Linked DNA regions of Mus musculus. The protein of the gene in region 5 interacts with the protein of the main gene of each other region in a biochemical or structural test. Links are inferred from orthologs where the notes say so. Each region holds a gene or a part of one and is shown on either strand. Other genes may lie near its edges. The genes, in order: Plk1, Bag5, Matk, Cd2bp2, Lrrk1, Cwc15 and Nudt16l1.

Evidence for each region.
Region 1: the proteins of Lrrk1 (region 5) and Plk1 form a complex in vitro, tested with the Homo sapiens proteins (2 studies listed by BioGRID, with this or other methods). The link is inferred for Mus musculus from reciprocal best matches to the Homo sapiens genes LRRK1 and PLK1.
Region 2: the proteins of Lrrk1 (region 5) and Bag5 form a complex in vitro, tested with the Homo sapiens proteins (2 studies listed by BioGRID and IntAct, with this or other methods). The link is inferred for Mus musculus from reciprocal best matches to the Homo sapiens genes LRRK1 and BAG5.
Region 3: the proteins of Lrrk1 (region 5) and Matk form a complex in vitro, tested with the Homo sapiens proteins (2 studies listed by BioGRID and IntAct, with this or other methods). The link is inferred for Mus musculus from reciprocal best matches to the Homo sapiens genes LRRK1 and MATK.
Region 4: the proteins of Lrrk1 (region 5) and Cd2bp2 form a complex in vitro, tested with the Homo sapiens proteins (2 studies listed by BioGRID and IntAct, with this or other methods). The link is inferred for Mus musculus from reciprocal best matches to the Homo sapiens genes LRRK1 and CD2BP2.
Region 6: the proteins of Lrrk1 (region 5) and Cwc15 form a complex in vitro, tested with the Homo sapiens proteins (2 studies listed by BioGRID and IntAct, with this or other methods). The link is inferred for Mus musculus from reciprocal best matches to the Homo sapiens genes LRRK1 and CWC15.
Region 7: the proteins of Lrrk1 (region 5) and Nudt16l1 form a complex in vitro, tested with the Homo sapiens proteins (2 studies listed by BioGRID and IntAct, with this or other methods). The link is inferred for Mus musculus from reciprocal best matches to the Homo sapiens genes LRRK1 and NUDT16L1.

Annotation. Positions count from the first base shown.
Region 1 is NC_000073.6:122,165,935-122,169,434, reverse strand, and holds part of Plk1 (serine/threonine-protein kinase PLK1), read right to left. Parts: intron 1,839-3,500; coding exon 1,683-1,838; intron 870-1,682; coding exon 792-869; intron 607-791; coding exon 452-606; intron 355-451; coding exon 172-354; intron 49-171; coding exon 1-48. UniProt on the Homo sapiens protein: Serine/threonine-protein kinase that performs several important functions throughout M phase of the cell cycle, including the regulation of centrosome maturation and spindle assembly, the removal of cohesins from chromosome arms, the inactivation of anaphase-promoting complex/cyclosome (APC/C) inhibitors, and the regulation of mitotic exit and cytokinesis.
Region 2 is NC_000078.6:111,710,457-111,714,544, forward strand, and holds the start of Bag5 (BAG family molecular chaperone regulator 5), read right to left. Parts: upstream 2,801-4,088; 5' UTR 2,588-2,800; exon of another isoform or gene 2,071-2,587; intron 957-2,070; 5' UTR 932-956; coding exon 1-931. Other genes in the region: Coa8 (cytochrome c oxidase assembly factor 8), read left to right, coding at 2,837-2,962. UniProt on the Homo sapiens protein: Co-chaperone for HSP/HSP70 proteins. It functions as a nucleotide-exchange factor promoting the release of ADP from HSP70, thereby activating HSP70-mediated protein refolding.
Region 3 is NC_000076.6:81,255,960-81,260,098, forward strand, and holds the start of Matk (megakaryocyte-associated tyrosine-protein kinase), read left to right. Parts: upstream 1-1,339; 5' UTR 1,340-1,615; intron 1,616-1,870; exon of another isoform or gene 1,871-2,011; intron 2,012-2,081; exon of another isoform or gene 2,082-2,276; coding exon of another isoform or gene 2,277-2,345; intron 2,346-2,520; coding exon of another isoform or gene 2,521-2,571; coding exon 2,572-2,580; intron 2,581-3,214; coding exon of another isoform or gene 3,215-3,217; coding exon 3,218-3,328; intron 3,329-3,423; coding exon 3,424-3,539; intron 3,540-3,627; coding exon 3,628-3,847; intron 3,848-4,129; coding exon 4,130-4,139.
Region 4 is NC_000073.6:127,193,278-127,197,285, forward strand, and holds the start of Cd2bp2 (CD2 antigen cytoplasmic tail-binding protein 2), read right to left. Parts: upstream 2,801-4,008; 5' UTR 2,652-2,800; exon of another isoform or gene 2,185-2,651; 5' UTR 2,162-2,184; coding exon 2,084-2,161; intron 1,882-2,083; coding exon 1,746-1,881; intron 1,625-1,745; coding exon 1,467-1,624; intron 1,365-1,466; coding exon 926-1,364; intron 845-925; coding exon 738-844; intron 654-737; coding exon 543-653; 3' UTR 1-542. UniProt on the Homo sapiens protein: Involved in pre-mRNA splicing as component of the U5 snRNP complex that is involved in spliceosome assembly.
Region 5 is NC_000073.6:66,287,342-66,290,841, forward strand, and holds part of Lrrk1 (leucine-rich repeat serine/threonine-protein kinase 1), read right to left. Parts: coding exon 3,387-3,500; intron 2,393-3,386; coding exon 2,272-2,392; intron 1,903-2,271; coding exon 1,743-1,902; exon of another isoform or gene 376-1,742; coding exon 99-375; exon of another isoform or gene 1-98.
Region 6 is NC_000075.6:14,499,354-14,503,418, reverse strand, and holds the start of Cwc15 (spliceosome-associated protein CWC15 homolog), read right to left. Parts: upstream 2,801-4,065; 5' UTR 2,638-2,800; intron 1,504-2,637; 5' UTR 1,496-1,503; coding exon 1,365-1,495; intron 606-1,364; coding exon 493-605; intron 1-492. UniProt on the Homo sapiens protein: Involved in pre-mRNA splicing as component of the spliceosome. Component of the PRP19-CDC5L complex that forms an integral part of the spliceosome and is required for activating pre-mRNA splicing.
Region 7 is NC_000082.6:4,937,648-4,941,528, reverse strand, and holds Nudt16l1 (tudor-interacting repair regulator protein), read right to left. Parts: upstream 2,419-3,881; 5' UTR 2,389-2,418; coding exon 2,236-2,388; intron 2,159-2,235; exon of another isoform or gene 2,152-2,158; coding exon 1,891-2,151; coding exon of another isoform or gene 1,849-1,890; exon of another isoform or gene 1,816-1,848; intron 1,334-1,815; coding exon 1,112-1,333; 3' UTR 501-1,111; downstream 1-500. UniProt on the Homo sapiens protein: Key regulator of TP53BP1 required to stabilize TP53BP1 and regulate its recruitment to chromatin.

The DNA.
Region 1 (3,500 bases), about 56 Mb from region 5:
GTAGGTCACCGCTGCCATCAGGGGGCACAGGATAAGTTTGGTGTGGTCCTAGGAGGGAGCGAGTGAAGAGCTCAACAGGTGCCCAGGGGGAGGGCAAAGGGGAGGAAGGCGCCCCGCTGGTGAGGGAGACAGCACTGCCACCCCCAGGCACAGCGTCCTGCCCCAGCACACCTGGAAGAAGTTAATCTGCACGGTGCCGTTGCTGAGGTGCAGGATGATGGCGCTGCGTGTGCGGAACCACGTTCGTAGGTAGGGCAGCCGGGCCAGCTCGTCGCCTTCCCGGGGTGTGATGTTGGCCCCTGCCTTCAGCAGGTGCTCACTCATGTAATTGCGGAAATAGTTGAGGAGAGTGATCTAGTTTGAAAAGTTGGGGGAGGGATTCCAGAATGAGGGCCTGGCCCCGAGGCAGCCCCCTACCCTGCCACGCTCCCCCTCGACAGCCAGGACTCACCTTCTTCATCAAGGAATTGGGATGGGAGCTCACAGTGAGATAGGACTCCGTGCCATCACGCTCTATGTACTGCAGGCTGTCCCCGTCATTGTAGAGAATCAGGCGTGTTGAGTCATTAAAAAGCACCCCCACACTGTTGTCACACAGCTGATACCCTGGTGGTAAGTGGAGGGTTATCTCAGAAAGGCAGGAGGAGACAGGCAAAGGCCTTGGAAGAACTCAGTAGAACTCAGTAGTACAATGCTTGCCTACCATGCAGAAGACCTGAATTTTAATTCTTCCCACGCCCCGCCCCCCAGCTACACCATCCCCTGCCCATTCCACATTCTGGGACACCTACCAAGGCCATACTTGTCCGAATAGTCCACCCACTTGCTGACCCAGAAGATGGGGATGCAGGCAGGATCCTCAGCCTCCTCTGGGGTAGAAACAGAACACTGGTTATGGTTAGGTCAGCCCCGTCGCCTTTCCTTTCAAGCAGCCCTCCCCATGGCACCCCATGAAACCTGAGGAGGAGCCTGACAGTACAAACCTGACACCCAAATGGAAAACTGTAGCCCAGGATGCCAAGGCCCACTTCATCACGAGTGAGCCCCTGTACTCTAGGCCTACTGTAGCCATGAGCTGTGGGAGGTGCGGACAGGGAAAGAGACCCACAGGCTTCAGAAGAGCCCGGGTTCCAACCACAGGGATGAAGAAGAAGCACAGGCTACAGGCCCCTCCATCATTCGCCCTGGGGGTGGTAGAAGGCCTAGTATCCCAGACTAAAGTGACGAGAGACAGTTGGCTGACAACCCCTGCCTGCGATGCTAGAACAGCTAGAAAACTGTACACAAGTCCCTGATGCAAAAACACAAATGTGCTGGGAAGAAATGCTATAGAGAATTAATTAAGTCAGGTTTAGAAGTGATGGCAGCGGGTGTCAGGGCAGGGACACTGGGTACAAAAGCCCTAAAGCTGGAGCTGATCTGAGTCTCTGGAGGAATTAATTCCCTGAGCAATATGTGCAGTGATGCAGAGATGGCCTACCAGCCACCTACAGGACAAGATGGTGCAGAAGTAGGCAGAAGAAACACCAAGGGGGGCCGTGGGTGTCAGGCTAACTCACCTGGATTTTGATCTATAAGAAACGGGCAAAGCAAAGGTCACGTGGGTCTGGGCCCTCACCAGTGCTCTGCTGACTGAGCAGCCCTGCCTTCCCCAGGCGCGCAGACCTCTCTGTAGCACTCACCTTGCCGCACCAGCCCGCGCTCCGAGGGCTTGGAGGCGTTGACACTGGTCAGCTGCTGTAGCAAGTCACTAAGGTGGCACTCAATGGCCTCATTTGTCTCCCGGACCACCGGTTCCTCTTTCTCCCGGGGACGGTCAGGCAGGGGGTTCTCCACACCTGAGAAGAAAACTCGGTCACTGGACAGACACAAAACTAGGGGAAGGAGCACAGGACTTTGGCGACAACTACAACTTTTTCACTATCAGCGATGTGGGGACACAGTCAGCACCAGTTTGAGTGGCAGGCATTGTTATACTGAGAGGTCTCTAACCCAACAGCCTAGCTTCCCAGGACAGCAGCTGCTGCTGTCACTCAGGGAGGCCATCGGAAGGCACCAATGACTCAAAACTGCACCAACTCAAGAGTGAAGGGCACTGTGAGCACCCAGGAAGTTGGAAAGACGGGTGGATTCCTTTAAATAAAGCCCCAGAAGCCTTTCACTGTAACCCTCTGCTTTTGTGCGCTTACAAACCGCCCAGGTCTGATGACATGCACACTAAAGCTTTGAGTTGGCTACGGTGGCCAGGGGGGAGCTTTACACTCGACTGGCTTGTTTCCCCAGACCAGCATGTGCTAGTTCTCCTGTGAGACAGCACAATTTTTTTTCTTAAAATTTCAATTAAAAAAAAATAAACCACCATGCTACATTAAGAACTTAAGTGTGAAATAAAATATTCAGGATCTGATTTTTGTTTGTTTGTTTTTTTGTTTTCCGAGACAGGATTTCTCTGTGTAGTCCTGGCTGTCCTGGAACTCACTTTGTAGACCAGGCTGGCCTCGAACTCAGAAATCTGCCTGCCTCTGCCTCCCAAGTGTTGGGATTAAAGGCGTGCGCCACCACCGCCTGGCTCAGGATCTGATTTTAAAACTAGCCAAAAAGGGGCTGGAGGACGGCTCAGCAGCTAAGAGCACTTGCTGGTCTTGCCAAAGACCTGGGTTTGGTTCCCAGAACCCACGTGGTGGCTCATAATCATGTCTAACTCCAGTTCCAGGGGATCCAAAAACATCTTCTGGCCTCTGTGGTTATCACACATGTACCTGGTGCACATACATACATACATGCATGACACCCATACACAGTTAAAAAATAAAACCTAGCAAAAATGAGTGTTTATAGACTAGAGTATGTAAAAAGCAAGCCTGTCTAAATTTAGCTATTGGAAATGAAGGAGAAATGAATGCCCCAGGGACAGATAATGCAGGTGGTTCCCTGCCTTTGGGTGAGTGTGGAGGCTGTCTACAGAACAGTTTCTTTACTATACTTATAAGACAGCGGCATTCTAACCTCCACCGCCGAGGAAGTTAGGAATCCCCAGGTCCAGCACTGCGGGGAAGGACAGGGAGCTACCCTCCGTACATACACGTCCAACATGACTTAGATTCCCCACTGCTCATGAACTAGGCATGGTAGCCCATCCCTGACTGTTAGCCTAGCACTCAGGATATAGAGGCAGAAGGAGCACAGGTTCAAAGTTGTCCTTGGCTACTGTGAGACCCAAGCAGTTCGGGCCACATGAGACATGGTCTCAAAAAGGGAAACAAAATTGAAATTACAGTAATAATTGCTACCACGAAGACTGGTGGTCCCTACAGTTTCAAACAACTTCCTGCAAGCTATTTATTAACTACCAAGGAAACAATGTCTGTGGGAGAGACACGGTCTCCCTGACACACTGAGAAGGGCAAAGCCCTCCACAGCATTCTTGCTCAGAATGCAGAACCTCACTGCACTCCCGAGGAAGCATCAAATCCAATAGGATATCAACTCATCAGCACCCT
Region 2 (4,088 bases), on a different chromosome or scaffold from region 5:
GCAGCTCTGTCTTGGCCCTCAGGTACAACTCAGGAGGGCTCTGCGCCTGGAGAAGTTCATTTTTTATCTCTCTCATCCTCTTGAGAACATTTTCTATTTTTATAATGGAATGGTTCTGTCCCAGGTCAAATGCATGTGTACTGTCAGCTTCCTCTTCTAAGTCTAGGTATTTCAGTAATTTGTTGATATCTTCCACCACCTCCCTCCGATAATTTCTGATCTCTGTACGCCCACACACATCTAGAGCATCTAAGTCAGCAATCAGTCCTGACAGCACGCAGGATAAGTGCCTGCAAGTCTCGGAACTGTCCACGCCCATCAGAAGTGCGATCAGCGTCCCTCTGGCCTTGTTCACCTCGCACATGACAGAGTTGATTTTGGCCACTGAAGGATGCACATCCTCAGACAGTGGCAGGGACGGCTGCTTCTTCATACAGTCCTCAATAACCTCCTGTACCGCGCAGATCTTGGTGAGCGTGCGGTACCTGGCTTTCCGCAAGGAGACCTTCCCTCCGGTCTTCACGTGCGTCAGCCTCAGAATGATGTCCTGGATGCCTTCCTCAAACTCGTCAGTCACACAGTTGCCTCCGCTGTAAAAGGGCACAATCTTGTCTTTCACAAGGGCCTGAGCCTCCTTAAAGATATTCTGGATTTCGATGCGGTGTGGGTGGTTGGCATTCTGCTCCAACTCCTTGAGGAGACGTTCTGTCTCCTGTGCCGCCCGCTTCCTAGCTTGCTGGATATCTCCTTTTCCTTCCGTATCCACAGAGTCAATTTCAAAAAGTTGTTTGGTCAGAATCCTCTCCAGCCTCTTGTAGTTCTTGTCATCCGACAGGCCGCTGAAGCCGACCACTTGCGGCTCTATAGCCTTTACTTCCCGCTGGATCTCCTGAAGCCTACTAATGGAGGGGTGTTGGTTTCCCATATCCATACTTCTGTGTTCAGTTTCACAAGCACTGAAAGATAGCAAGAATGATAACGTATTAGTCTCTGCAGGACAAGAACCCACTCTAAACACTCCTTCTTAGTACACTTGTTAAAAGGGCTCATTCGGGCTGTGGAGATAATTTTTCATCAAGTGTCCAAGCTGGAATTCCAGAACACATGTGGAAAAAAAAAAGCTGGGGCGGAGCTGGAGAGAGGGCTCAGTGGTTAAAGGTGCTGGCTAGAGGACCTGGGTTTGATTACCAGCACTCACATGACAGTGCATGACCACACAGGTAACCCCAGTCCCAGGGCATCTGATTCCCTTTCTGTCTTCAGAGGCACCAGGCACACAGTGATGCACAGACATCCATGCAGGCGAAGCGCCAACGCCCATGAAGTAAAACAGAAAAGCCAGGCAAGCCAGTGCCGGGGAGACGGCGATAGATGGATCTCGTGATTCACTGGCCAGCCCAGGTTAGCCTAACCGAGGACCTTCAGGACCATGGGAAGCCCCACTTCAAAAGCCAAAGTCAAAGGACACCAAGGAAATGATGGTGGGCGGGCAGGGAGGCCAAACTCTGGCACCTGGGCATGCACCAAAATACACAAAAGGTTTCGTCAAAGGTGTAAAAGGTTGCTTGAGGAAAGGGAAGATGTGACATGTCAACTCCCTCTCCTGAAAACAGCTGGACAGGAACAAAACAAAGCAAGCTCACCGGTGTGCTGGTGTATCCCTACAATCCTAGCGTCGGGGATACAGAGGAAAGGGAACTACGAATTCAAGATCACCATGGGCTACTTGGTGACCCTAAGAATTCAAAGCAAAACGGAAATAGGGGAACACGGTAGGGATTTGAACGACAGACAGAAGGTCCTCATGATCCAGCCTGGGTGGATGTCTAGGCCTATGAATTCTGTCTTAAACCATGAGAGCGAGCTGCGTACACTGCCATTCTAGTCAACCCACCAGGTTAGCAACACAATTTCCTTAGATCCCCCCCCCCCCCATCCTAATCTACTCTCTGGAACCAGTTTGGAAGTTAACAGTAGCTCTTCCACACTCACAGGAGCACCATTCGTCCAGACAGCTAGCTAACTTTCTACTTTTCTGAAAGAGGAGCTACGAAACTTCCAAATCCTCACCCTGACTTCAAATACCCGCCGCCCAAACCTGCCGACTGCGATTAACTCGGTCACTCGCCTCCCGGTATGTGCGCTTAGAGCATTTCCCACGCTCTCAGGTTTCTGTCAAACAGCTCACTTCTGGCGGGCAGGCCACAGAACTCAGTCCCCGGGAGGGTCCAAGCCCGGCCCTCGCAGAGCTTTTACCCCGGGAGGTCTGGGCGGCGGCGGTCTTGGCTGCCGCGGGGGGCTGCGAGGTGGGAGATCGGCCCTTCACGGGGAGCGGCACCGCAGCGGTGCCCCCAGCGGCATCCCCCCTCGCCCTTCCCGGCTAGGTCTGACCCGGGCAGCCGGTGAAGGGGCCGGCGGAGGCGGCGGCAGCTACTGGCCGCGGCGGCCGCTCCCGGGTCTCGGCCCGGCCGGACGCGCCGCCGCCTGACCTCACAATGGGCGCGCGGCGGGCGCGGGCCTGCGCAGCGAGGGCGGCGGAGCGCCCGAGGCCGGGAGAACGGAGCTCGCGCCCTCGCCCCACGCTCACCTGGGCCGCACGCGCCATCGCGCCCCGCCACCTACACTTCCGCAGCGTTGTCGCCGTCCTCGCAGAGCGGGCCCGTCAGCAGTGAGCCCGGGGAAAACTTGTCCTCTCCTCGTCCCGCGCGGGCCCCGCCGCCCGGCGTCCGTCCCAGGGAATGCGCACGGTCGGCCTCGCCGCGCGTCGGCTCGGGCTTTGCGACGCCGCCGTAACGCCAACCTTTCCACTGTCGCGATCCTGCCGTACGCGCGGGCCATGGCGGCTTTGCGGCCCGGAAGCAGAGCGCTTCGCCGGCTTCTCTGCCGGTCCTTCTCCGGCGGCGGCGGCGTTAGGTTGGCCCGTGAGCGCCCTACGGATCACAGGGATGCGGCGTCCAGCCGGGTAAGCGGGACGCCGGGGGCGCTGGCAGGGAGGAAGGCCGCCGAGCAAACCCACGCCGCCTGCACCTCTCCGACGGACTGATGATCACTGCCCGGGATCCGCTGTGGAGAGCGCGAGCCTTGCTTATCCCCGAGTTAATTCCCATTTGTATTAACACAGCTCTTGAAGGGTGTTCTTTCTCATTTTCGCATCGTTAAGATTAGTGTTCGACTTAAAGCCGTGGCTGACTTCATCATCCCACTTCTGTAGACTTCGCATTGTTTGTAAACGTGCACGCGATGTCAGAGATCCACAGTGCAGGTCTGCAGCAAGAATGGGCGTGAAGCCTTTTTCAAAAAAACAATTGCTGGGCTGGAGAGATGGTTCAGCTGTTAGGAACACCGAAGACAGTAACAATGCACTCACATATATAAAACTAAATAAAGCTTTTTTTTTTTAGTCAGTTGCACTTCTTTTTTTTTTTTTTTTAAGATTTATTTATTTATTATATGTAAGTACACTGTAGCTGCCTTCAGACACTCCAGAAAAGGGAGTTCACATCTCGTTACGGATGGCTGTGAACTACCATGTGGTTGCTGGGATTTGAACTCTGGACCTTCCAAAGAGCAGTCAGGTGCCCTTACCCACTGAGCCATCTCACCAGCCCTCAGTTGCACTTCTTTGCAACAGAATGCTTTGCTTAAGGAAGGCCTAGGTTGCCAGGCGTGGTGGCCCACGCCTTAATCCCAGCACTCGGGAGGCAGAGGCAGGCAGATTTCTGAGTTTGAGGCTAGCCTGGTCTACAGAGTGAGTTCCAGGACAGGGCTACACAGAGAAACCCTGTCTCGGGAAAAAAAAAAAAAGGCCTAGGTTTAGAGTCTATCAGTCATATGAAAACGCTAAGGCTGGAGGTAAAACATTAATCAGTGGCTACTAACACTTCAATGACCACTAAGCTAGTGATAGAGACTAGAGAGCTTGGTTTAAGCAATAATGAAGAGAGGGAAGGAGGGATGAGGAGAGAGAAGAGAGATGGAGAAAATTAAGAATTGCAAAATGTGCTTGCTGTGAAAATTTTCATCTCTGCTATGCTGTGTCTCCTTGCACACTTTTAGCTTTGAAGTTCTGACTACTCCAGTTTAGATTT
Region 3 (4,139 bases), on a different chromosome or scaffold from region 5:
AGATGAGCTACTATACCTGAATTTTTGCATAGTTTAAGGTTTTGAACTCAGATCCCTCGTGTGTGCAGCAAATGATTTCCCTACTAAAACAACTCTCTGGCTCACTACCATCATTATAGCTTGACAATAACACTTCTCTTAAAAGATCTGTCTTGGGCTGGAGAGATGGCTCAGCAGGTAAGAGCACTGACTGCTCTTCAGAAGGTCCTGAGTTCAAATCCCAGCAACCACATGGTGGCTCACAGCCATCCGTAATGAGATTGGATGCACTCTTCTGATGTGTCTGAAGACAGCTACAGTGTACTTACATATAATAAATAAATCTTTTAAAAAAAAACTGTCTTGAAAAAAACAAAAACAAAAACAAGGAAATGTCCTCTGTACCCTGATCTTCTCATGCTCCTGCCTCAGCTTCTCCCAAGGCTTGGATTGCAGGCTATGTCCTTCAACCCCAAGGGCCAGTGCCGTTTCAACACATATACTTCTCAGGTAGCCCAGGCTGGCCTTAAATTGACTACGTAGCTGAGGATAACCTTAACTCCTGATCCTTCTGCTTCTGCCTCTCCAGTGCTGAGGTGACAGGCCTGTGACACCACAGTGTGTCACCCATTGAGCCCCAGTCCCCACTTTTGGATCTTTGCTAACTGTAGGTACTAGAATAAACATCTGTACAAAGTCCACTGGTAAGACAATTGGAGGAGGTCTCGCTAGGCCCGTGCCAGAGCGAGTCAGAAAGCAGTTGGTTACTGCAGAGCACTTGGACCACTACTGCACCCGTGGGGCATCTGCCGGCAGTGTGGGTGGTGGCTGATGGTGACAGGAGGGAGGGAGCCTGTGACTCAGACACTGTCATCAGCAATAGGGTCCGAGAAAAGTGGAACTTTGGGCTGCCTTGGTTCCAAGTCTCTGGGCCTCCCTGGCCAAGGACTCCTCAGTGGGTACCTGCATCTGCCTGGGGACTTGTGATTAAGGACTGTGGCTTCTGGCCGTGTCATGTCCATCAGGGTGCTTCTAGGCACCTCTGCCCAAACGTGCTTAATTACTTAATTGGGTTTTATTTGCTTTTTTTTTTTTTTTTTTTTTTTTTTTTTTTTTTTTGAGGCAAGTTCTTACTCTGTAGCTCTCTATTTTAGCCCAGGCAGGGTTCCAACTCACAGAGATCCTCCTGCTTCTGCCTCCGGAGGGCTGGGAGGATGTTTGAGTGCTCCACAGCTGGCATGTCTGAAAGTACAGGCAGACCAGGCAGGGCCGCAGCTTGCCTTGGTCTCCTTCCCGGACAGGGAGCTCCTTCCTACTCCTAGCACCTGCGCGCGTGCCCGAGCCATTCCGCGCTCCCAGCTTTCCCAGGGTGGGCGAAGGAAGGCTAGGATTCAGCGGGGACCCGAGAGCACCCGGCACTTGGTACTCAGCACTCTGCCCGGACGGAGTGGGAGGCGCAGCGGGAGGAGGTGGCAGCGCGGTCTTAGTGAGACCGGCGCTAGGACCCGCGGGGGCTCCGAGCCGGGTCCCCTCCATCCTTGCCCCAAAATGAGGAAGCCTTGCAAGTTGCTCCGAGTTGAGCCACTGGGTGCTCGACCCGCTGGCAGGGACCCTCCGAGGGTCGCGCCCTAAGCAGGTGAGCGTGTGTGCGTGGGTGGAGGGGGACACCACTCTCGAAACGGTCCTGGACCCGGGGGCGTCGGGTGCAACGGGCTGGTTTTTGTTTTATTTTGGTTTTTTTCTGGGTGCGGCGTGCAAGTCTCTGAGTGCGCGAGTCCCGGTGGTCACTGCAGGGCCCTTGTGCACCACAGGCACCAGCACAGGTGTACGCGTCTCACTGGCGCCCTTGTCGCACACACGGGGGTGGCTGGTGGCACCTGTGCCCAGATGCACGTGCGCCTCCGCCTGCGTGGCTGCCGTGCAAACCCCACTGAGTCTGAGGCCAGGAGCGCACCCCAACCTCCCGCCCTGCCCCCCTGCCAGCCACCAGCCGGGGATCCGGGCAGCCCTGCAGTGCCTGCGCTGGGATGGGGTGGGTCCCCTCAAGATGCTTCTTTGGTGACCCGTTGCGACCCGAGGAGCCAGGAGCTATACGGGAGCCTGGCCTCCTCAGGTTCCGCTTAGGGTCAGATTCCCAGGAATGACCTTGAGTCACGGCCCCTGCCCACAGCCTCCTCTGCCCACGCCCAGGAAAGAGGAAGCCACAGGCCCAGTTCTTTCTCACACACAGCCCTGGCTGCCACCTGGGCCAGATCACTCCATTCCTGACTCTGGGCCTCAGTTTCCCTTCCCGAGCAATGGCAAGGCGAAGCTCCCGGGTCTCCTGGCTGGCCTTTGAAGGCTGGGAATCTAGGGACCTGCCTCGGGTAATGATCACTGTCCCTAAAGCCAAGGGCTGCAGAGGGGCTCCACACCTAAGCCATCCAAGGGATGATTTGAGGGAGGCGCTTTGCTTCCTGGATGCTGCTGCCACCAGGCCAGACCCTGAGGAAAGAGCTGGACCTGGGGACACTCCCAGCATGACACTGCCTTCCTTCACAGGTGAGCCCTAGATTGTTCGGAGCTTGGCACCCCGCGCCTGCTGCAGCTAGGATGCCAACGGTGAGTGTGGGGCCCTGAGTCACCAAACCTTTTCAACTGTCCCCTTTTGGGGGGGAACATGCCCCTCCCCACTTGAGCAAGCACCCACACCTGACAGTCCCCAAGGACCCCTCTCCCCCCACCCGCCAAAATGGCTTCACGTGACTATAATTCTGCCTCTCTCTATAACTCTGTTTCCCTCCCCCCTTCCTTTCTGTATTAGACATTATCCCCAGGCCTCTATTCTTTATTTTAATTTATTCTTGAGACAGGGTCTCAATGTGTAGGTATGCCTGGCTTGGGACCTGAGAGTCTCCAGGCTAGCCTCAAACTCAGAGATCCACTTTCCTCTGCTACCCCCACCCCTGCCCTGAGTTCTGGGATTACAAGTGTTGGCCAGCACTCCTGGCATCATCATCTTTTAATTTTTGAGACAAAGTCTCACTGTAGCCCAGGATGGGCCTTTGGCTGGTTTGGAGTCCTCCTGGCTCAGCTTTCTGAGAGCTAGGCTACAGGCCTGTGTCTTCACTATTCCCTTGTCCGGTCTTCTATCCTCACCAGCCCCAGCTTTCTCTCAGGTCTCTCTGTCCCTCCCAATTCCCACTTGTCCCTGTGTTCAGTCCCTGACATACCTCTGCCTCTGTCTCCTTCCCAGCAGCGCTGGGCCCCTGGGACTCAATGCATGACCAAGTGTGAGAACTCTCGCCCCAAGCCCGGTGAGCTAGCCTTTCGAAAGGGTGACATGGTGACCATCTTGGAGGCCTGTGAGGTGAGAGGGGAGCTGGAGGGTAGGTGGTGTGCCTTGGGGGTGCCAGGGCCGACACCCACCAGCTCCTTCCCCACATCTGTTCCCTTCCTGTACAGGACAAGAGCTGGTACCGAGCCAAGCACCATGGCAGTGGGCAGGAAGGGCTGCTGGCGGCCGCTGCTCTGCGACAGCGGGAGGCCCTCTCCACAGACCCCAAGCTCAGCCTCATGCCGTGAGTGGCACCCTGGGGGGTGGTGTGAGAGGCTCAGCCCCCTCTACCCCTGCCTTACACAGCCCCCTCTCCACACACATCCCTACAGATGGTTTCATGGCAAGATCTCCGGCCAGGAAGCCATACAGCAGCTGCAGCCACCCGAGGACGGGCTGTTCCTTGTGAGGGAATCAGCTCGTCACCCTGGAGACTATGTCTTGTGTGTCAGTTTCGGCCGTGACGTCATCCACTACCGTGTTTTGCATCGAGATGGGCACCTCACCATCGATGAGGCCGTGTGTTTCTGTAACCTGATGGACATGGTGGAGGTGACGTGTGGGGCAAGGCTGGGGAAGGAGGGATGGAAATATGGATGGTGGCCCCAGGAACTGTCACTTCTTTCTCTAGAACTGGGGTCACCTCCCCAGGGAGCTCTATGTTCACACCAACCACCCCTCAGTTTCCATTCTACAACCCCCACTGTTGCCATGGAAACCCGATCACCTTAGCCTGGCACTTAGAGGAGGAGTCTGGCAACCTCACTGAAACTTGGGGTGGGATGGTGGGAGCGGTCCTGCAGGGCAGAGGCTCATGGCCGGCGGCCTCCACAGCACTACACCA
Region 4 (4,008 bases), about 61 Mb from region 5:
GGGGCGAGGGGTAGAAAAATCAGACTATGGAAGAAGAGAATGCATGTTTAAGAGAATCTCTCAATAGGATTTCAAGGTCTTCCCAATGTCCCAGCTACAAGGGAGCTGCCAGGACAGAGCATTTGAGGTCCTAAAAGTCAAAGATCAGCAGAACAGGGACTTGCAAGGGAGACTGGAGAAAAGAGTGATGGAGGGAATTTTACACAGCAAGTAGAAGTTGTCTACGTAGGAAAGTCACAGGACATCTGATGGGCCCTACCTCTGCCTCCAAGGGTGGGAAAAAAAACTGAGGTGGTCCAAGACACCAGAGAGAAGCAAGTGAGGAAGTCTCTCGGGAAGAAACGCTCAGGGACCTACCAGGTGAAGCCAAAAGGAGCTATGGAGAAGCCCTGGCTCTTGGCCATCGCACAGTCAAGGCTTTTATTGGGAAACAATGGCTTTAAAGTGGCCTCCAATATCCTCACTGCCCAGAGCAGCTGGGGCTTCCTCTGCCAAGTTCAAGAAAGAAGGGGCTGCCGTGCCGCATGGGGCCCTTAGCGGGCTCACGTGTACAGCTCAAAATCAATGCGCTTGGAGTTGTAGAACTGGCCGCCCGGAGGGTCCAGCTTCCGACAATAAACACCATCCGGGAAGTAACCTTCACTCACCCACGTCTGTAAGAACAGAGGACAGAACTCAGGCAAGCTGACAGAAGGTGGGCTGGACAGATGGGACAGACGCGGCAGGGGGCAGCTCACCTGCATCTGGGCACTGGTGAAGGGTCCATACAGCTCGGCGTCCCCCGTGTTCTCCCATTTATACTCCCACATCACATCCATCAGGCCATCTCCTGCTGACTCTGCCTCTAACACAATGAACGATACTTGGGCCTCAAGCACTCAGTCTCCAGCCCACACTGCCCCCCACCCGTGCCCTCCAAACTTACCCTCTCTTTGGGTAGGGGTTGGGGTTTCCAGTTCACCCTCTGCTACTTCCTCAGCAAACATGTCCAGGGAGGGTGGAGGTGTGGGGTCATGGGATCCCTGGGCCCGACACCCCAAACCCTTCAGTCGCATAGCCAACCGTTCCCTTGTTTCCTGGTACACACCAAGGTTGCCTCGTGCCACCATTTGGTCAGCTAACCCAGACAGCCGGTCTAGCCGCTGGGGGGAATTGGGCCGTCCAGTCCCCTTGCTGTTGCTCCCTTTGCCTCCTCCTCGGGCCCCCAGCCGCCTAAGGGCCCCAGCCACTGTCTCTCTTGGCAACAACAACTCCAAAAGTCCCTCCAGGAGTGCTTGGGCGCTCATTGGAGTCTGACCCAGGCTGTCTTCCTCCTCCGAGTCTGAAACCTGGTGCTTATCAGGGGGCCGTTCCTTGATCCTCACCTACAAGGAAAAGATAATTAGAATTTCTTACAAACTTCCACCAGGGCCCAGGCCCTGCACCTGCACTCCCAGGCCTCAGCCAGAATAGTCCCTGGGCCACACCCAGTCAATGTTGTCCAGCCAGCTGTCTCGGATCTGCGCATCCTGGTTCAGGAAGTAGTTGCCATCAGCATCAAAGTGGCCTTCCTCCATCTCTTCCTGCAGGTTGAAGGGTGTGATCCTCACACCGCCCTCACTAGGGAGAGTAGCTGCTTCCTGACCTGCACCGAAGACATTGGGGGTGGGGCATGCTAGACACGCAAAAGGGAAGCAGGCACACCTCCCACCTCCATCCTGAAGGCTTGTCCCCCCAACTCAGTTAACGCTTCGGACATAGCTCACCTTCTACATCCTCTGAGGCCAGGATATCATATTTGCTGGACCCTTCCTCATCATCATCCTCTTCATCACTGTCTAAAGAGTGCTTGCCTTTGAAGCGGCTCCCAGGACCACCTGCTGCAGCCACAGGGTCCACCAGCTGTGAGGAGGCCGAAGCAAATGAGAAATGCAGCCAACTGGGTAGTTCCCCAGATACTCCAGGATCTGTACACAAATCTTTCCAAACCCAGTGCGCCGGGGAAAACTAACACTTCCTTGGCTTCCCGGCTTTCCTCCCATCAGATTTCTCCTTCTTCTTTCCTCTCAGTCCTCCACGGAAATTCGAAATCTGGCCATCTCACCTTCTTTTTGGGCACACTGATTTCATCTTCACCATCCTCATCTCCAACACCCTGAAAAGTCACTTTCCTCTTTGGCATGATTGGCTGTGGATTTCCTCCAGCTGGACCTCGGAAAAAGATATGTAGTGAGGAAGTGAGGTAAGGAGAGAGGACCGCGGGGGAGTGCAGGGGCCACCAACATTTTTCCTGGTAAATGTGAGCGAGGACAGATCGCTAAAGCATCTGAGAGAACTAGCAGGCACGACGTCCGGGGTTGGTTGGGCAATTCTGAGGCCCGGAGGAGAGGCGATGGGAAGGATCTCCGCCCCCGCGTGGACCCTGCGGGTATTCCCACCCGGGGATGGGGAGTCAGGTTCCCCTACGTCACCACTCCCCTACCAGTCCGGAGCTACCGAACTCAACCACCTCTCCCACCCGAGTGCTCACAGAGGCCGGTCGGACCCAAGAGCTGGAGCTGCCTAGATCCCCGAATACCACGTAGCGACCTGCTCGGCCATGTCCTTGGCGTACAAACTAAAGGCGAAGCAAACCCGCGGGGATTCAAACAATCTTACCCGCCGGTGCTCACCTAGGAACCCAGGGTCAGGCGGGGAAGAAAAGGAAAGATGCTTTCGCCGGTATTACATCCGGGGCACCCGCCTTCATCACCCGGAAAAAAACCGTGGAGACCGGCATAGGACCCGGAAGTGGCTTCACTTCTATTCAAAAAGGGCGGATGCATACCATTAGCCAAGGCCGACTCGCGGCAGGAAGTGACGCAAGACCTGCAAAGACTCGCGTGAACTACGTCCTTGCCTCACGGGACTTGAGGATGGCGGGAAATGTTTTATTATTCCTCTACGATGGAGGCTACAGTGAGGATAAGGACGTGGTGTGCTAAGAGGTTCCCAAGGCCTGGATGGAGAGGCACAGGCCGAACAGAGGCTTCGGGCTTCCGTTTGCATGTATGGATAGGGTTCTGTACGCCTAGTGGCCTTCAGTAGACACCCGGGCTTCCGATCTTAACGCAGTCCCAACACTCGGGAAATTGAAACAGGATTGATTGTCGCGAGATTGACGACAGTCTGGGATACAACATGAGACCGTCTATTTTTAAAGAAAGTCTTGCTCTTCTCTCTGAGTCCTGCTTCTGATTATAAGCGCTCGGGCACCTTCCAAACCAAGCCCTTTTAGAACCCAGGAGTCATTTGCACCATGTCTATTCTCCCACTTAATTCCTAGTTTCTGTAGCGGGACAACCATCACAGGAGGTGCCACTGGCTTCCGTCCGTGGCCTGTAACCAGGCAGAAGCCCATCAGTTACACGAAGCCTACCTCATCCCTTAGCAAACTGCCAAAGGGCTGGGATCCAGCTCCTGCAAAGCTGGGGCCAGGTGAGATCTTCCCCAATAGTGAGGTTTAGATCTGGAGCTCTGGGGAACAACTCAAACCTCAACGCCTCCACCCCCGTCCCCACCCTCGGCTAAATAGCTCCGGTGATCCTACTAGAGTTGGAAGAGGGCAGCCAGATGGACCACGCCTTTCTCCTCCAGGGTTTTCTCCCATTGTGAATCATGAAACTTCACTTCTGTGGGTACAGAACACAAGTTCTAGACCAGGAGGGCATCTTGCTACAGACAGGACCCTGAAGAAAGCAGCTCTCAGCACTGCTGGTTCATCCGGAGGGGGTTTTCTCTACCTGGAGACCACACACCCTGATCCCCTTTCTGCTGAGAAGTGCCAAGTGGAGCTTTACGGCCACAGAAGCCCACACCTTTATCATCCTGACCCGGAGTAGAGGGTGTGTGGCAAAGATCTAGCCACAGAAAACAAGAGCTGCGCAGTTTGGTTGTGTGTACCTGCTGGGATGAACCCCAGGCAGTTAGTCTACCCTAGACGCCCAGGGAACTGCACCAAGCTGCTGACCAAGAACCCAGCCCAATCTA
Region 5 (3,500 bases):
TCCTGGGTGGTGGTAGCCCTGGAAATCTTAGTGAGGCCACCATTATCCTAAGACCCCATTCCTTCCTTCCTTCAGAAGACTCCGGGCTGTGGGCTTACCTGTCATTGGCAACAGGGAGGGCAATCTCGAACTTGGCAAGGAACTGGAAGTATTGCTCCTCAGTCTGCTGTGTGAAGCCTGTCCCCACCAGCAGCATCCTGAGGTCTTCCGCTTGGATCACCCCATTCTTTGCCACTGACCGCGAGCCCTTGATGTTAAAGATCCTCTGCAGGCATTCAGAGAGCCAGATGGGATCCAGGAAGTAGAGGTTCCTTAGGCCATGGCTCGTGTCTGGAAAGTGCAGCAGGGTCCCAGTTTCTATGAGGAAGCTGATGGCTGCCAAGAGGGAGGGAGGAAGCTGTGTCAGAACCACATGGGACCAAAGGGGACTCAGGAAGAAACCAAGACTTCTGGCATGCCAGGCCCATGATGACATTTACTCATGATCCTCCTAAAGCAACCCGTGAGGCGCTTCCACAGTTCTGTGTAGGTACTTGCTGAGCTGCATGCAAAGTGTGAGTGGTCCCATGTACATGTTCCTAACCGAGCTCTTATCCCGTGAGTGTCCCTTCTATGGTCTATTGATTGCCATGTTATCTGGGAGGTAATTTTGCTGTCTAAAATGACCCTCCAAAACAGGGCTAAAAGGTTGTCTAGTGTTTCTACGTACAAGACTGTGATTTACAGAGAAAATATGTCATTAGATAAACAGTGTTGAGGCAGAAATTATATAAAGGCCACTGCATGACCTAATATTTCAGCAATACCTGTTACATAATTAGATAAGGTGTATGTGTATATTGTTAACTTGATACAATCAAGAATCACGTAGAAGAATTGCAATTGAGGAATGAGCTAGATCAGTTTGGCCTGTGGGCGTATCTGTGGGAGACTACCTTATTAATTGATATAGCCCATTGTGGGTGGCACCATTCCCTAGACAGGGAATCCTAAGTAGTATAAAAAAGAAGAAGGCTAGCAAGGAACTGAGCAATCAGCCAGCAGGAGTCCATTTGTTTCCCTTTCCTCTTGACTGTGGATGTGATGTGATGTGATGAACTTCCAGGATTTCTGCTTTGACTTACTCATAGTGATGGACTGGAACCTGGAATTGTAAGCCAAGTCAACCCTCTCCTCCTCTAAGTTGCTGTGGTCAGCATATTTTATCACACCAAATGAAAGGAAACCAGAACAGAGGCATATGTGAAACAAGGTTATTGACTGCTTCATTGATGCCAGTGTGACTAGAAGCAGACAAGAACCTAACCTTATCTTCCTCCAGGAGCAATGGTCTGTATCTGCCAACGCAGTAGCCATAGCGACATTTTAGATGCTAACTACCATGAACAATAAGAACTGGTTGTAATTGTTTAGCCTGGACCAAAGTCCTGGAGGGTGGTGACCAGTTTGACTTTTGCCTGTCGTGCATCCTCTGCAGAACAGCTGCCATGTTCTCTGTCCAAGGAAAAAGGGGCAGGTGGAGGGATGGTAGGGGTGGGGTAGCAAGGAAAAGTGGAGGGAGGCAGCACATGGGCAGGCAGACTCCAGGCAGTGTTGAGTGCTGTCACGTAAACCTGCTAGCCTGCTGTGCTGAGGGTCCAGGTGGAGATGTGATGAACAGGACCCTCACAGATGTCTCACCCCACCCTCCGCCAGCCTTCCGGTCCCCCATACCAATGCCTGGGTACCCACTCCTGGCCTACCAGACTGCAGGTCTTCATAGTCTTTGATATCATTGCCAGGCGTCTGCTCTACCAGCTGGTCCAGCTGCCTGTCCGTCAGATACTGTACTTGGTCACCCAGACTGCGGCGCTGTTGCTCAGCCAGCACGGCCTCCTGTAGGCTTATGTAGCTCCTGGGGATCTGGGTGCGGGTGGGGCAAAGATGGGCCTATCAGGTGCCAGGGGTGCGTGCTGCCTGCACCAACACTCCCCACCATCGTCCTCACTATATGGTCCTAGGACCAGAGGATGTGCCTTTACAGCATTAGAACTGCAGACACATCTCTGAGCATGGCTTTGCTCTACCTCTGTTGGGGACACACACACAGGGTAACGGCAGATCTAGTGATGCCAGGACTATTGTGATGGCCAAGGATCCTTCCCTGCCCCCACCTGGCACTACTGACCTTTAAACACACCCATGTGCCTTATAGCAAAAGGGGGACGGAAGTGTGGACCCCAACAGTGGAAAGGAGGAACCTCTGACCTGATGGGATGCGGGGACACTCACCAGCCTGCCGGCGAGTTTTTGACAGCCGATAGTGCTACCCACATCCTTCATGTTGCACGTGACGTGGAAGATCAGTTGCCGCAGCCCCTCCTGCCCTTCCAGATTCTTGCAGGAGATCTCACTGTATGTGCAAACACTGGGGCTTAATCAACAGACCACCTCTTTGCTTCGGGGGCACATAGCATCCCTGTTTCCCTGGAGATTTGTCCCAAATAGCCACAAACCTCGAGAAGTCATTGAAAGAGAGACTAGGAAGGAAGGCTTTGGAGGCCTTTCTCTGTGCACAGCCCCATGTTGGATGTCCTACAACATGCTGCTTTGGTCTGTCTTCCCAATAGGCTGAGTTCACAGGGGAAGAGGAAGGCCCAGAGGTACTGGGCCTCCCAAGGGTGCCAGCTTAGAAAGAGACATACATATTGGGGCTGTGACTATGAACCAGCCAGCAGTCCTGTTATTAAAGACCCTTCCAAGTCTTTCTTGGGGGCAATACCAGGAGTCCCTCCAAATCCTGGTGCTGTATTCTGACTGACAGGCCATCCTGACCTGTGCACAGCACTCATGCCGTCACACCCAGAGTGAGGGAATCCTAGAGTAGCTGCAGCAACACACGCTCAGGGATTCTCACGTCTGTTACTGAGCCTCAGATTCACGGCCTGAGCATCACAGCCCTAGCGATGTGGTGGCTACTGACAAGAGGTTAATTGAGTGACACACCCGGGGTGGCTAGTCTCCTTAGCACCAGCCCACCCTGCTTCACAGTCTGCCGCTGCTTTCAGACTCAGCAGTTGCTCTCAGTTCTCGTGAGCAGATCCAATGCAAGGACTGGGATGCTGGTCCGTGATCAGTGATCTGAAAGTACTGTGGATGGTGCTCAGGTTCACGTGTCTCTGTTCCGTGGGAGCTGTGTGCTCTTGGCACTGGCCCTTATGGGAGGAGAGGGCCCAGGAAGGAAAGAAGGACAGTTCTGGAGTCTGGAAACCCTGTCTCTCTAATCATCTAATGGGTTATCCCTTGCTTAGGGTGCCATCCTCTCTCCAGAGGAGCCTGGCTCATCCCCATGACAGATTCCAGGCAGGATGGGATCTTAGCGAGCGAGAGAAGTAGGCAATACTCACTGCAAGTGTTTGAAAGTGATGTCCGGGAAGCCCGTAGCCCTGGAGCCCGATGGCGAGCGGCAGAGGGCCAGCACGTAGGCACGCAGGGTTGCTATCCTCTCCACTCGGAACTTA
Region 6 (4,065 bases), on a different chromosome or scaffold from region 5:
CTCAGAACCTCTGGAAGAGGTGGTGCTCTTAACCACTGAGTCATCTCTCCAGCCCAAGTACTAAATTTTTAAAACCATTTTAGAAACCTTTGGGCAAAAAGAATCCACACAAAGCATAGTGACACCCGGGATCCACCCTGTGACTGGCAAGTAAGTCTTTGATAAATATTTGTTGGTTTACACGAAATGAATTAGTGAGAATGCAGATCACAGCATCTTAGGAGACCTACCCAATGCTCACATGTAGTAGAAACACAAAAAGGATAACTGATGCTTCTCTCAAAACTCTTCAATTACATTCGGTGTCCCAGACAGAAGGCCTAGTATCAATGCATGATAGTATCAATGCATGGGACTGGAACAAACCTCATTCTCATCTCTAATCATTCATCAAAGAGATACAGCTCACAAAAATGCTACTTATTTCCAATTACCAGGATACACACAGTTTCTGCACACAACTGAGACAGACATGACGGACAGTACGGGTACCTCGAGTTGGGCGGTCCCTGTTTTTGTCCCTTGCAGCAGCTCTCTCTCTCTCTTCCAGTTCTCTCCTGAAGTCACGGTTTCGAACCTCTTCAGGGGCATCCTGTGTGGTTTGTCTTAAGTAGGAAAAACAAAACAAAACACGTCAAAAATGTTGGCCTCACTTGTCAAGGAAAAGAACCTATATAGCTTCAACAATTTAAGACAATCCAGAATGTAACTGTCTGTCAACAACAAAAAGGAAGAAGATAAGACAATATCCCAATCTGAGGGTTAATACACTCGTAGTGTTCCTTATCACTAGAACAACAAACTAAAGCACACAATTGCCTACAACAGAATGTCTTTGGCTTTTAAAAAAAAAGATTTATTTATTTTATGTATATGACTACACCATTGCTCTCTTTAGACACACCAGAAGAGGACATCAGACCCCTCCGATGGTTGTGAGCCACCATCTGGTTGCTAGGAATTGAACTCTGGACCTCTGGAAGAGCAGTGCTCTTAACTGCTGAGAAATCTCTCTAACCCATGTCTTCGGCTTTTTAAAACAGTCCACCAATTCAAGGGCTGTTAGAGCAACACTTCCATATTCACTACAGCTCCGTCTTCTCTGATGTGATTATCATGACTAATGAGTGCTTCATCTACACATAGCAATTCCTGGTTCAAAGGAACTTATGCTGGAAGACTGTCTAGCAACTTTACCTGTAGGGCGTAATTTTATTGTAAACTTTTTTGAAATACTTCTCTTTGGAGATCAGTAACCTAAATACTATAATTTAGACATGACCATAAGTCATATATATACATACATATATATAGAGAGAGGCTTGGTCCCATTCTGTGAACAAGACAAATGAAGGCCTTCTTACCTGTACTTTATCTTTGTATGAGAGGGAAGATCTCTGCTTGAATACTGCTTGGAGAGCTGGCTCAAATCCCCTTCTCCTTTTCCTCTCCCACCTCTTGCAGGTTCAAAAGTTGGCCTGGCTGCTGTTGTCATCTTTTAGTCTTCGGCAAAAGTGAATTTAAGTTATACTTTCATTTTACAGATAACTCAAAAATATCTATTCTTAAATCCTTCTCAAACTCCCCAAAATTGCTTAGTTTGCTTCAACACAAGTTCCTAAAAATCCGAATTATGAAACTCAGGGTGTTTACTAGGCAACTCTTATTCAGTATAAATAACTACTATGAAGATCTGAGTTAGTGCTTCTGTTCTGGCTGGGTAGCCCTGGGCAAGTCTTCTAGCTCGTTTCTGTCATTTGTGGAATGCCGACATTTCTATAGTATTATGAGATTCCCATACATGATGTCAGATCTTGCACAACAGTGTAGTGTAGCTTTTAAAATAAATGACTTAAAAAAATGTTATCCCACTAGCACTAGCTTCTCTGAGATTTTATTTTATTCTTTTTTAAAAAAAATTTATTCTTTTTTTTTTTTTTTTTTAATTATAGGATCTCACAATGTAACTGTCCGGCCAAGATTTGCTGTTCTACCAGAAACCTCACACTACAGCAAAGAACCCAATAAAAAACAAATTTCTTTTAAAGTCACAGTCAAACTTATTATGTTAAAATTTGTTTAAAGTCCCCAGTGACATTTACATGGGCAACCATTACCCCAGAATCTTGTTGACTCAATTTTCTTCTAAAGCAGTTACCACAACATTTATCAAGGCTGTAACTTCCGCGATGCTCAGAAAATCGGAACTCCACCCAACCAAGTATCAAGAACCCATCCTGAACTGGGTATGATGGGGGTACTCCTGTGATTCCAGAGCTTGGGAGGTGAAAGCAAAAGAATCGGGAGTTCGAAGCTAGCCTAGGCTACAAGAGAACCTTTGCCATTTTTAGCTGTCAAATAAGAATTGCAGCCTAACTGCAGGGCTACTAAATCTCCGTTAGCTTAAGCAGCTGCTCACACAGATCGTGTGTGAAGTGGGAGTTTCTCCCCATCCCACCCTCCTTTGCTTTTCTCAGTGTCTGAGGCGCTGCACCGGTGACCGCCCCGGGCTCGGCTTCAGCTCCGGACCACCATCCCTGCACCGCGGCCTGTACGATCGTCACGGGCTGCGGCGGCGACTCGGCTCCCCGGTGCCACCCACACAAGAACCACAAACCACCATGCCCGGCTGCTCACTCTGGCGGGGGTCCTACGCAGCACCTTCCGAAACTCACTCATGAACCAATGCGACCCTTAGCTCCCAGAAATCTCGGCGCCGGGGGCGCCAGGCCCAAGACCGGAAACAAAATGCAGAGCTTCCAGTTTTTACACCAGGGGCTCGGTTGAGACCCGGAAGCAAAACCTTCGCACTTCCAATGGCTGTGGAGAAGATGCGAACTCCACACCCGGAAGCAATTCCGGAGTTGTGTGTGTGTTTTTTTTTTTTTTTTTTTTAAACCGTCTCTCACAGGCTGACGCAGTGACCAATCAGCAAAGACACGGGAAAAAGATGGAATGACGTTGCCTAGGGGCGGAGCCAAGGCAGCTTAGGGGGCGGGCGTTTGAAACCGGTGCTTCATAGTCGACCCCAAATATCATCTTTTTTCCTTTGCGAACCAATTACTTAATCTCTCTTGCGTCTTTTCCTTTCCCGACCCCCTCCCAGACTCGTTCGCTGCGGTTCTGCGAGGACGGAGGCGCCAGGAGCCGGTCCGCGTCTCGCAAGAGAGATGTGAGGAGAGCTTGCCAACTGACCGACCCAACGGCTCCTGCTCCTCAGTAGACCCCGCAGCCTAGGGACTAGAGTTGTCACTTAAGTGGATATGAAGAAGGCGCAAATAAGTACGGGGGCAGCCACGAGCTTTCCAAAGGTACCATTCCTGCGAAACCACTAGCCTTGAAGGCAAGGGTTATAGTCGCATTGCTTGTTAAGATATATAAATATATAGATATATAGCTATATGCATTAAGCGTTGTAGCGTGAGGGGAGATGCTTGTGAGCGTTTACGATAGTGACAATTTATGGAGCAGTGGGCCTAACTGCCAGGAGGAGCACGAGATGGGATTAAGATGGCTTCGCCAACGTTGTCTTGTGCCCCATCATTGAGATCTTGGGGACGGCCGATGCTCGGTAAAGAGGATTCTGTTCTCCAGTTTATCTCAAGTGGAAGGGTCTCCTAAAATTGAACATTTCCGTTCTTTTCTGTCCTTCCTTTGGAACTTTTAAATGAAGAAAGAGAATTAGAAAAGAACCCACTCCCTCCCGAATGTGCCCGCTCCCCAAGTAGAAGGTGAAAGCTTCATATTTTTGCCCTGAGCCTCACACAAAGGACACCGCTTTCACATTAGTGACTCAAACCCAAAGATGGAGACCCTCTTCCTTCCCTCGTCACATCCTGTTCACCTGCCACTCTTGTCCAGTATTGTGAAAATTACCCTGAAGTTCCTTTGCTTGTCACCACACTCCTTCAGGCCACTGTCATTTCCTCTTGATTTGTAATTGCTTTCATAGGGACTTTCCTAGTTTTGCACAAACAGAGTGATTTTTTCAGATTACCAGGTAGTGGTTTTGACACTTAGGATAAAACAGCCTCTTGCTTTTACTTACACAGTCTGCCTCCTGCC
Region 7 (3,881 bases), on a different chromosome or scaffold from region 5:
TGCACATGCAGGTGCCATACTGAGGTCTGATCTTACAGACAAGGTCTGGGGTGCCTAGAAAATGTACTCTTTGAAAATAAAAATTAGATGCAAGTTGGTGGGGGCTCATTTGTGATCACTTGACATGTATTCCTGCCTGACACCAGAAGACCCTAGTAACCCATGTGTGGTTACTTCTGCTCTGTATCCTTAGCTGTGGGGGTCACTCTTGCTCCAGGGTTTCTCCCCTGCTCTTGGATTGTTGCTAAGCCCTAAAGTGGAGCTGGCACACAGCCTTCCCAGTGTTTCTGCACCAGGCTATAGGACTGCCAGCAGTGGTGGTCCTGTCCCATGGTGGCACTTCTGTTGTCCTTCTGCACACTAGGCCTGTGCTTTCAGCTCCACCATCACCACAAGAGCTCAATTCAAGCTGCCACTGAGATTGGTTGCCCTCAGAGGCTGGCTGTGGTCTGGGGCCCAACCTCCACACACCTCAGAAAGATGTGGCCATGGCACTCAGAAGCAACATGAGCATCAGAGGAATGGCTTTATTATTGTCTTCTTCCTTCCTCAGCTTCACAGAGGCCCCCATGGGGAAAACAAAATCATGTGGGGCACAGCCATTCTGAAACCAAACCACAGTTCATACACCAAGAACAAAATCTAACAGAGAAATCCAACAAGCACCCAAATAAACATCTTGCCCCACGCTGGGTCAGGCTCTGGGCTAAGGGAAAGAAGGGTTGGTCTAACGTGGGTCATCTCTGTTGGGCAAAACCCATGACCAGTCCAGGATCTGTGTTCCAACCAAGTGGTTGCCTTCGAAGAATGGGCTCTAGCTGGGACTCCACTAGTCATGAACAGACTCGCACAGGACAGTTTGAGCCCTGGGATGGGTGAGAGCATCTTCAGCTTGAAAAGTTAGGCCCAGGCCCACCCCCACTGACCAACCTGAGAGTGTAGCTAGGTCCCAGGGACTGCTTGGGACAGTAATGATGAACAGCTGCCTGCATGTCCCTTGCAGTCAGAAGGGATGCAAAAGCAAACACACTAGAAGGCACGCGTCTCGGGAATTCCAGGGCCTGTGGGCAGAGACAGCCAAGGGAGGGCAGGGACCTGCACAAGAAGCACCTCAGGATGAGGGCGGGAGCAGCTTTTCTAGAGCCTTCTTCTGCTTCTCTGTTGCTGAGGCCAAGGCCTCGGCCAGCTTTTCCGAGGGCATCATGTTGAGTACCTTAAGGGCAAATAGAAGTTGATATTTGGCAGTGCTGACGAAGGCGTTGCTCAGAAAGTTAGGAAAGCCGCCTACTCGATCCTTCTGTGTGTACAGTGGGACCCGTACAAGGCCCAGGACCTGTGGGACAGAGGGCATGAGTGGGGCTGGGCTCTTCTTGTAGAGGCAGGACCCTGGCAGAGATGCCTGTCAGCCACCAGTTTGCCAAAGAAACAGGGGAGACCCAGGCAGGGTCTGGCCAGGCCAGGCTGGTGGCAGTAAAGTGCCTTCTCTCCAAGTTCCAAGGTCAATCCTATGCACTCCCCACCCTGTCTGGCAGCAACCCCCATGATCCCTGGTTTCACTCCATGCCCCTTAGACCACAGAATCTACAAATCCCCCAATTTCCTCTCAGGAGATAATCCCAAACACTGCATGCAACCCGGTCTTTTTGGTCTCAATTTCCCAAGCAGGCCCTGTTCATCCCTTCCAGTGACCCCAAGCCCCACTCCCAGGATTGACAATGGCAGACAAGGCAAATGAAAACAGCCCATGATCCAGATCCCAAGTCCCTTTTCCCACCCAGCATAGCCAGGGTGAGGACCCTGAGGGGTACTTGTTACCCAAGGTGCCTTCTGTGGTGCCAGAGCCAAACCTCAGGAGTGGGAATGGGGGCGGGCCCCAGGCAGTAGCCCCACCTCCAGACCGTGGTCCCGTGAGTGCACAGCGCTGATCTCCACAGCATGCAGTTGTTCCAATGTCAGCTGCCGTGCGTACAGATGTGCCACCACACGGTGTGGACCCTCAGTCAGGTGTGAACTCAGGTAATCAGCTTCGGTAAGGCGTAGGCCGCCCAGGCCCAGGCCCAGCACCCGATTCAAGCCATCCTCCAGCGACCAGAAGCGCCGGTCCACGAAACCCCCGGGAAAGCCTAGCAGCCCGTCGAAGCGCATCTGCATCTGCAAGGTAAGCTTGGTCAGGACGTGGGGTCCACTGGGCGTCCCAAGCCTGTATCCGCCCTGCTTGCCCGCCCAGCTCCTCACCAGCACTGAGAAACGCATGGGGATACGTCCGAAAAGCTGCCCGGGGTTGGCGGCGTATAGCATGGCGTGGCATGAATGACTCCAGCCGGGCCCCAAGCGCATTGCTTCCTCCCGACTGATCTGTTTCAGCTCCGGAACCGTCGTGGTCGACATCTTGATGTGCTCCAGGCCCACTGCCCAAACGAGCATGCGCGACCCCGCCCACAACACCAGACCCAATCCTCGTGCTTCCACGTGCATAAAGCCCGCCTCCACCAGTCCTGTGCTTCTGGGGTTGAACCCAGGAAAGACCCTGGCGGAGGCGGGGTGGGGTGGGGGTGGAGTTATGTAGTTCGCCACCCTCCAAGTTGCAGAGGAGACCCCACAACCACCAGAAAACTACAGCTACCAAGACGCACCGCACGGAGACCAGGTTGTCCTAAGCAGGTAGGTACACTGATTATCAAGACGTGTCAGTCTCCAGTCCCGAACATCCCTGAGAGGGCATCTGAAGTCTCAATATCCACCTCATCCATGAGGGGGCTGGTTTTCCCCTGAGCTTCACCCAGAGCTTGTGGCTCCACTGCCTATGAAATCATGCCTTAAAAAACTTAAATGTCTAAGTGACTCCAGCTCAAGTGACAGGGGACCTAAGCCTTACTTATGCTTTGCCCCTCTCTGGCACATTGATTAATGTTCAGTAAACATCACAGGAGTTGGGATGGGTATAAGAACTAGGACCACCTGCCCACCTAGAGGCTAAGATTCATCAATTGCCCAGTGGAGGTGAGCCAAATTCCAAGTCCAGTTTCAGACACAGCAAGCAACAAAATAGCAATAAACCATTGTCTATGTTTGGAGGGGGCACTCACTGCCCCTCTCACACAAGCAAATGAAGGCAGCAACAAAACCTGTCAGGAGTTCTGCCAGAAACCACTCTAGTGTCCTGTCACTACACCAAAAGCCAACAATGCTGCTGCCTACATAGTGCTGTGCCAGAACAAAGGCACACATAGAATATTGCTGCATGATTTTATTACTATAAATATACAGTAAAAATGAACCCAAACTAGCCAATCAGAGTACATCAGATGATAGTACATGTGAGTCTGAGACAGGTAAGTGTGTAGGCTGCACCCCATCTTTCAAAGTACTGGCACCAGTGCCACGGCCAGAGGCCAGGATGTTGGCAGGTGAGAAGTGGGGGAGTGAGCATGCACATGCTGACATGTGTGCACATATGTGCATTCAGCAAGAGAGAGAGATGGATGTGCAGAGCTGTGCTAGGAAGGAGCAGGGTTAGAGTCAGAGCTCGAGCAGCCCTGAGCCTAAAGGGGTCTCCATGCACTGCTACAGGCTGTCACCTGGGTGAGTGGCAGGGCAGTTCCTTAAGCTGAGGTCCCTCTACCAACCCACCAGGGAGCTGCACTGCCTGGGGCACCTCTGCTCTGGGGCCACTCATGGGCCACTTCTGCCTTGGAAACAAAGTATCACTAGGAGCCTGCTTCTAGGTGGGCTCTGACAGGAGCCTTAGACAATCAATCAGTAAGAAGCTTACAGGCCAGGTAACTGGCAACGGATCTGCTATGGAAGCTGCTCAGGCTCCTCCCTGGCAGGTGGTGGGCAGTGCTGCCCTGCAAGCACAAACCGCCACCTTGGCAGCGGGT